2 linked regions of the Danio rerio genome follow. The protein of the gene in region 2 purifies or fractionates together with the protein of the main gene of each other region. This does not show direct contact. Links are inferred from orthologs where the notes say so. Each region holds a gene or a part of one and is shown on either strand. Other genes may lie near its edges.

Evidence for each region.
Region 1: the proteins of apaf1 (region 2) and cycsb purify together in Homo sapiens (affinity purification with western blotting; 3 studies listed by BioGRID and IntAct, with this or other methods). This does not show direct contact. The link is inferred for Danio rerio from reciprocal best matches to the Homo sapiens genes APAF1 and CYCS.

Annotation. Positions count from the first base shown.
Region 1 is NC_133181.1:11,868,536-11,872,472, reverse strand, and holds cycsb (cytochrome c), read left to right. Parts: upstream 1-1,550; 5' UTR 1,551-1,625; intron 1,626-2,422; 5' UTR 2,423-2,428; coding exon 2,429-2,597; intron 2,598-2,673; coding exon 2,674-2,819; 3' UTR 2,820-3,230; downstream 3,231-3,937. UniProt on the Homo sapiens protein: Electron carrier protein. The oxidized form of the cytochrome c heme group can accept an electron from the heme group of the cytochrome c1 subunit of cytochrome reductase.
Region 2 is NC_133179.1:18,446,545-18,450,368, reverse strand, and holds part of apaf1 (apoptotic protease-activating factor 1), read right to left. Parts: intron 3,694-3,824; coding exon 3,577-3,693; intron 2,888-3,576; coding exon 2,762-2,887; intron 1,812-2,761; coding exon 1,683-1,811; intron 712-1,682; coding exon 586-711; intron 1-585. UniProt on the Homo sapiens protein: Oligomeric Apaf-1 mediates the cytochrome c-dependent autocatalytic activation of pro-caspase-9 (Apaf-3), leading to the activation of caspase-3 and apoptosis. This activation requires ATP. Isoform 6 is less effective in inducing apoptosis.

The sequences.
Region 1 (3,937 bases), on a different chromosome or scaffold from region 2:
TATAAAATGTATATTTTAGTTTGTGACCACTTGAGGGTGAGTAAATGATGACAAAGTTTTCATTTTTAGCATTTCTGTCACTTTAACCATATTCAAAACAGCATAAATAAGTATGAACTTGCATATAAAGATGTACAATAAGGTGGAAAACTAATTGAATGTATCATGAATTAAAACTAAAAAACATTCATTAAATTCAAACAGTAAAAGTAAAAAATTGTATAGTCGTAAACACAAACACACACACACACACACACACACACACACACACACACACACACACCTTGACAGAATTTAGAGGTGGCTCAGTGCAGTCTTAACTTGTTGGTCAGAGTTGCCTTATAGAAGTTTGTAACATGCAACAATGGCAAATCCCTTTTGAATGTGTTCTGTAGCCTCAAGGCTCTAACCGGTTAGGTTTCATTTTCATCTAAAGGTCCAGTTATGGAAGATTTATTAATCACTTTGAGGTCAAAATGAGGAATTAATGACAACAGACTGCAATGGCAACAAGAAGGTCAAATGATTTTTTGGGCACGTGTCAGAAGGAGATTCAGTATAGACCTTCAATAAATTTAAATCTGCGCCATTTGTAATGTTGGTGTCTAGTTTTAAAACATATTAGTGTTGGAATTTAAGAAAACCTGTTCATATGTGTGTTTCCAAATGAAAAGGGAGCACTTCATCAAGCAGTTCTCCTTGAGAGACCGCTAACAGGTAGGCTAATCTTCATGAAAAGCTGTACAGTTATGTACATCTGTCCAGACCATTTGTCATTCCTGTCAGTCACATGAGAGTAAAGCATTTATAACCTTTCGTTTATGAGTCAACCTGCTACCTTCAGGTGTTATTGACTGGGAAACACCAGATGAACAACAAACCTGAAAAACGAGTCTTCACAGCAGCACTTCTCGTGCACATTTTCCCGCGAACCAGAATCGTGTGAATGGATAGCCTACGTGATAAAAAATCCCTGACACGCTGCCAAAAGCTCATGTGACGCGACGTCAGTGTCACATTAGAGCATACGCGTGTACAGAAGAGGTACACCAGTTCTTGCGTGCCGCTACATGACACTTTCAATGTTAAATAAATGTAATTTATAAAATATGCTTTTGTGATGTTATAATAGTCACTGATATGTTTCAGTTTCTCGTTAATTATTTGCACCTTATTCAATTAATTAAAATAAAGGTAAATGTTTCCTGAGAGAAAAAAAGTAGCCTAGGAAATAATCTCGAAAGCATGCGTCAAGGTTAAACGTCTTTTTGTGTGCCCTTTATTCTAAAATGAACTATATGCTACAATTATATAGCTACTGCATGTACAAAAACCGTCTAGACTCTGAACTCCTTTTATCTAAGAGCGATTATCTCTTTCAAAGCGCTGCCTGTCACAACACCATAGATGGATCTCCAGAACAGCTGCTGCGCCGTGAGCAGATTCGTCAAGAAGAGGCACGTGACCGCTTTAGTCAGCGCATGATTGTGACGTCAAACACCGGAGCCTGCTCGCGCCTCTAAAATGAAGTGACCTTTCTCTTTCGCCCTGATATAGAATCGGTCCGCCGACCGGCAAGAGAGGAGTACTTATCAAGAACGACAATTACCTACACAGTCTAAAAGGTAACATTTTTTGAATCTGTCACGTAGTGTTGAGATCTGCTCGGCGTTTTGTGTCATGTATGTGAAATTTATACATAATGGAGGATTTTTATAGCGGTTCCTTGGAAGGGTGGCGTAAGGTTGCGTAAGCTTACCGGTAACATTACTCCTCAAGAACAACTGAACGCCAGGGAAGAATTATATGATTTGGTATGAAGTAGTGTTACTTTTAATTATATTAAAATATGAGAACTGTGCGTTTTTGATAAAAACCCACACATTCTGTTTAGTAACTCAACAGAATGAGTGGGTTTAATAGGAGGTTAGCCTGATGTGGCTAACTGCTAGCGTCCGCAACGTGGATCTGAAGCCGGTTTACGACTTCAGCTGAATTCTTTGAAATAAACATTGCTTATCTCAGGCAATTCTGACGAGTTAAAAGGAGATTTGTCACACAAACTCTAATCCGGCTGCTTGTTCATTTTAAGCTAGTTCTCACAGGGCGATCTCTAATGAGCCACACATCAGTGATTAAGGCTTTCTTTAATGAAGGCGATTTAAGGTTATCCTCGGATGAGCACTTTGATGCCGAGATGTTTACAGGTACTAATCGCCAAGGATTAGTTGTCAGAGAAACGTGCTTCTCCATCTATAAAATGCTAAGATTATTTACTTCATAACGAGAGAAGGTCTAACCTCATAAGCTGTTTTGGGGCTTGTTTTGTGTCCTGAGCTGATAAAGGATGCTCCATCCTTGAATGACCTTCTAATGATGTCCTTTCAAGTGTCAGTGTGTTCACCTCTCATTTCACTTCCAGGTAAATATGGGTGACGTTGAAAAGGGCAAGAAGGTGTTCGTCCAGAAGTGCGCCCAGTGCCACACCGTTGAAAATGGAGGCAAGCATAAAGTGGGGCCAAATCTCTGGGGTCTTTTCGGTCGCAAGACTGGTCAGGCTGAGGGATTTTCCTATACAGATGCTAACAAGAGCAAAGGTAAGGCTGATTTGGCGAATACGCATTTTCTTACGATGAGATGGACTCGCTTAACAAATCTTATTATTTTGCACAGGCATTGTCTGGGGTGAAGATACCTTGATGGAATATTTGGAGAACCCAAAGAAATACATTCCAGGCACAAAGATGATCTTTGCCGGGATCAAGAAGAAGGGCGAGAGAGCAGATCTTATTGCATACTTAAAGTCGGCCACATCATAATTCAGCTGGAGATCGAGGAAACGGCAATATTTAAATTAAATGTTTGTAGTTTGGATTTGAATGTCTTTAACTAACTATTATTCATATGGTGTAACTGAACACGTGGCCAGGGTTATTCATTATAACATGTGGCATGCTTCTAAAGCCGGTCCATTTTAACAGTGAAGATTTTCTTCTTTTTTGTTCGTCCATGTATGGTTAAAGGAAGAGTAAAGTTACTGCAGGTCCCTAGTGTTTCCGCTGAGGGAATGAAAACTGTCCCCTGGTTTCACAGGAGCTGTCGTACGTTAAATTATTAAGATGTGCTGAACCTAGTAAGTATTTGGATTGGAATGAGCGACTGGGAAATCAGTTTGCTTATTGGTAACATTGTATCAAATGGATTTGAACTGTCAAATAAAACGGTCAAAATAGTCAAATGTATGTCTATTCTGTTAGTTTCTCATATTCTGATGCTTGCTTGTGCAGCTAACAATAAAGTGCACTTTTTATTTTAAAGTATTACTCTTTGACCTTCAGTTTTAATGTAGTAAACCGGCAGATGACTCCATGTACTGGGACCTTTAAACTCTCAGGGTATAAAAATTGTCAGGTATGCTCTCGTGCTCCTCTGTGTAATTTCAGGGCAAGTCTTGACAATTTCCACATAGAGGCAGCATGTTTATCAAGATTTTCATGATTGTCTTAGAAAGCTAGTCTGCCTGATAAGGAAGTATTGGTCCCTCAATGATGAGTACAATTATTTTATCAGGAAATTGAACATCTATTGCAGTGCCATAAACAATAACATTAAAGAATTACATTACTGCAAAATTCAATAACACTAAAGTGCACTCCAATTCAGTTATGCGTTTGAATAATTAACATGTTTTTGTTTCTTACTGTCCTCTTTTTTTCAGCTATATTACATCCAACTTATGGATTATGAATCTATAATAATTGTAAAAGTTTAGAAGAAAGCATGCATTAATGTGTAATAACTTAATTTAATGGCATATGCAACTTGAGTACTGTTGAGAAGATGTCCTATCTGTAAAATCAGGAGGATCAAATGCAAATCAGATTGCGTAGAAACTGCATAGTCCAGCAGTTCTTATCAGCTTTCGCTTTAATTGGAC
Region 2 (3,824 bases):
AAACACTGCTAAATAATTTAAAGAAACTGTATAGTCAGTCAGAGATTAATAATACCAAACCAACAGGGTTAGGTAATAATTTTCCATTTTTGCCTGTTTTTTTTTGGTCATTAACTGAGGCAGATCCATTTGGCAAGAATTATTCTCTGATCAGCTTTGCCATAACTCTGTGATTGAGAAGTTCTGGCAGACAGACGAGAACATGGCGTCTCATTATAGAAAGCTCTTCTGGTAAAGGCGGCGTCACATGGAGCGAGTGAACTTCATCTCATTACACACTCGTGTGAGCGGACTGGACTCTGACCTCGGACACCTCCAACAGAAGATGTGCGCGCATTACGGAGGCTCTGTACTGCTCACACAGAGGTAATTAAGCAGAGTTTGGCTGTACATGCCGTCATTCACGCAAGCATCCTGGGTTCAGTAATGACACTCCAGATATTCACCCAGCAGAGCGTTCAAAAACTAGCAGTGTAACAGGAGCAGGTGTTCGCACAGTAAGAGTCCAGGATCTAAACACACAGGCAGCTGAAGCTGAAGAGAATAATGTGAAGGATATCTTGTTTGCTTTGTGCTCTCTCTGACCTTAGCAGTCCTATTAGCTGAGGTGGTGGCAAAGAGGCGTCCATCAGAGGACACATCACATGACAGGACGGCACCCTCATGACACACGAGGTCTTGCAGCATCTGCCCTCTGGTCAAATCCCAGACCTACAAACAAAAAGCAGAAGGCACTTTATAAAAATATGGTGTAACGTCCCACAATTCAATCTAAACCATATAAAAATGTAAATGGTTCAATCTAAAAATTCAATTACTAACTTAACATTACAGATAGTTGCCACGTCATAGTTTGATATTTTCAGTTAAACAACCTCACAATATAACAATTTTACTCACTTTTACTAGAAACGAGACAAACTAAGAAAAGGATCTAAAAACAAATCATGAAGCAAGTTTTTTTTTTGGTTGGAAATAGGATTGTTTTTCTTTTCCCACCGGCAGTGTTTGCCTAATACAAGGAAAACTCAATTCATTTGGACTAAATGCTTCTTGATTTTCTCCACCATTATGCAAGAACTTTAAAAGGAACATCTTAACTTTTGTTACATGTACATGACATTCAATAAGCTAAAATTAATATTTAAGACTTGGCCACATTTACAAGGATTTTACCAATAAACATTACATCAGCATGCTCATAAGGTAGTCTACTCTATTTTGCTATTAACACACATGCACATTTAAACCTCATATCAACTAAAAGTGAAAACTCACTGTAATTTACCTAGATCTTTAAAATCAACCAACTTTAGATCCTCTTTCCATAAACTGTTAAAAACTTGTCAAGTTTGAGCCCTATTTATTGATATTTACATGAAGATTTGACCCACACCAATTTCCCCCAAAATCCCTGACTACAATCGCCATGAACAAACCAAAACGTCTGTTTGGGAGATTTTAAAAACCTCTTTACAAGTAATTAACTGCATGCATCACCTAATTATCATTGTTAGCTCTGCTTTCTGTCCAAAGTTTGGCCTCGATAACCATGATTTTGCTCTAAAAGCAATGCAGTCCATTGAAATGGAGCTAAATGAGGTCTTGACGTCATCTTTCAAGCTCCACATGCTGCAAAGATTTTTTTTTGGAAATCAGAGAATGAGGCAAAGATGGTTTACCTTAACTGTGCCATCAAACGACCATGAGAACAGACGAGGAGAAGATGAAGAGCTCAAGAGGTGAAACTTCCTGACCGGCTCCATATGACCCTGCAGCACCATACACTCGCCGGTCCTCCACTTCCACACCTGCAGACATACACACATCTTCCGTGAATACTGAGGCTTTGAGATTCAAATACTTACAAATATATATTTACTACTATATAGTACTACTGTATTTTTCCAAGTGGGTTCAGAAGTTTTCCTCTGTTTGGTGCACCGTGAAACCTACGTAAATGAGTGCACTTGCTGATGTTGGTTTCATTTTCATTTTAAACGAGTGCTTTAAAATGTGGACTCCACATTTAAAATGAACTCCATTTTCAGATCTCTGAATTCATTTTGCAATTTGGTTGCTGACCTACGCAGCACTTCTGGAGGATGTCAATTTAAAAGGCCTTGTTTACAGTGTCTTTTGAACTGAATCTGCAGCTTGCCTATTACTGTTTTGTTTCAAAACTAATTAACCAGTCAGCAGCAGTCAACAAACCTTGAAGCATTTTTTCTACATTTAAAAGTCACATTTTATACTACTACTACGTTATAATAGGCCCATCCCCTGTAAGCCCATGCATTGTGTATTCAAATACTGACTTTCAGTCTGTGATGAGCATTCTACTACAAAAATTCTTAAACCGTATTAACATTCATCACCCTCTGTTTTTGCAGAATTTCAATGTGCATGCAGCTGTTCACAATCATCAATTACTAAAGTGTTTCTCTCCCTCCCGCATCCACTGCTTGTCATCAAAAATACAATGAATCAACGAGGCTTGTGATGATTCAGTGTCTAAAACTTCTCCAACTCTCAGAACAGCTGCAGCACAACTTTGAGCATGTGGTGCAATTACTAAACTGCACCTGCAAATCAGCGGACGTGTCATTTAACGCATCACAGCCAGACGATAATGCAAAAACTAACTTGTACAATAAAGCATCCAACAAAAAAACAACATCCTAATGAAAACAATGCAAAATGCCATTTAAATCACTTTCTCCTCTCTCTGTTCTAAAAAGAAAAAAGAGAAAGAAATTACCCGGATAGTGGAATCTTCTGAGGATGTTATAAGGATTTCACAGTCGTCAGTGAACTGGCAGTGGTGAACAGTCTTAGTGTGGCCTGAAAGCTTCACTGATGCCTTTGAAGAAGGAACCTCAATCACCTTCACACAAAGAAAAATTCAATATTAAACACTGTTCCAATGCAATGGTAACAAGACAAAAATAAAATGACCATTTAACAAATTTAATACACAGTTTGCATCTAAAAGACCTCAAAATCCTGAACTGCATTGAACGTTTAAATACAGGAAGCGCTAATAATAGCCATCCATCTATAGCGATAATCTCAAACTTGAGCAGTTCGTTCCACATTCCTCCAAATATGATTAAAAGTGTTTTATGGGAGCACGCTCGTGTGTCTGCCATTCAGAAAGGTGCTGCATCTGAAGCTTCAAAACTCAAACTTCAAAAGCTGCCTGGGGCCACGGGAGCGTGCGCTGTGTTTTTGGAGAGTAAATAAGAGGTATTTGCGCTTGCGGGCTGCTGTTCTGGTTTAGCGCGAGCGGCACTGCGGGATCAAATGCTGTCAAAATGCAGATTTACAAGTCACGGATAAATCTGTGCAGAACACACAAATAACTGTGTCAGCATTAACGACAACACTCACTTCAGAAATAAGCCGATTTGGTGCTCAAAGATTTCATGATGTTCCAATGTGCCACTTTTTTTGTGGGAAGTTGCATTTAGGTTTTTAATTTAACACTTCTGTGGGTTAAATTAAATTGTGACGTTGTAAATAAAAAGCGCTGTCAGGGTGAATGCCGTTCAGACATGCCGTTAGTCTCCATACCTGCACTGTACCTGTCTCTAGCCCTAATGCCATCACAAAATCACGCTGTATGTTCAGCAGCTGCAAGGCTCTCCATCCAACAGTCTTCAGAAACTGTCGAACTTTCAGCCTTCCTGTCTGTGCAAACATACAAAACATAGACCTCATCTCTCTACAGCAACCCTTCATTGTTCCACTGATGTCTGACTTTCCTTGAGGTGGGGGAGATTATGCAATTAATAAATACATAGTGCATCGTTATATGGCAT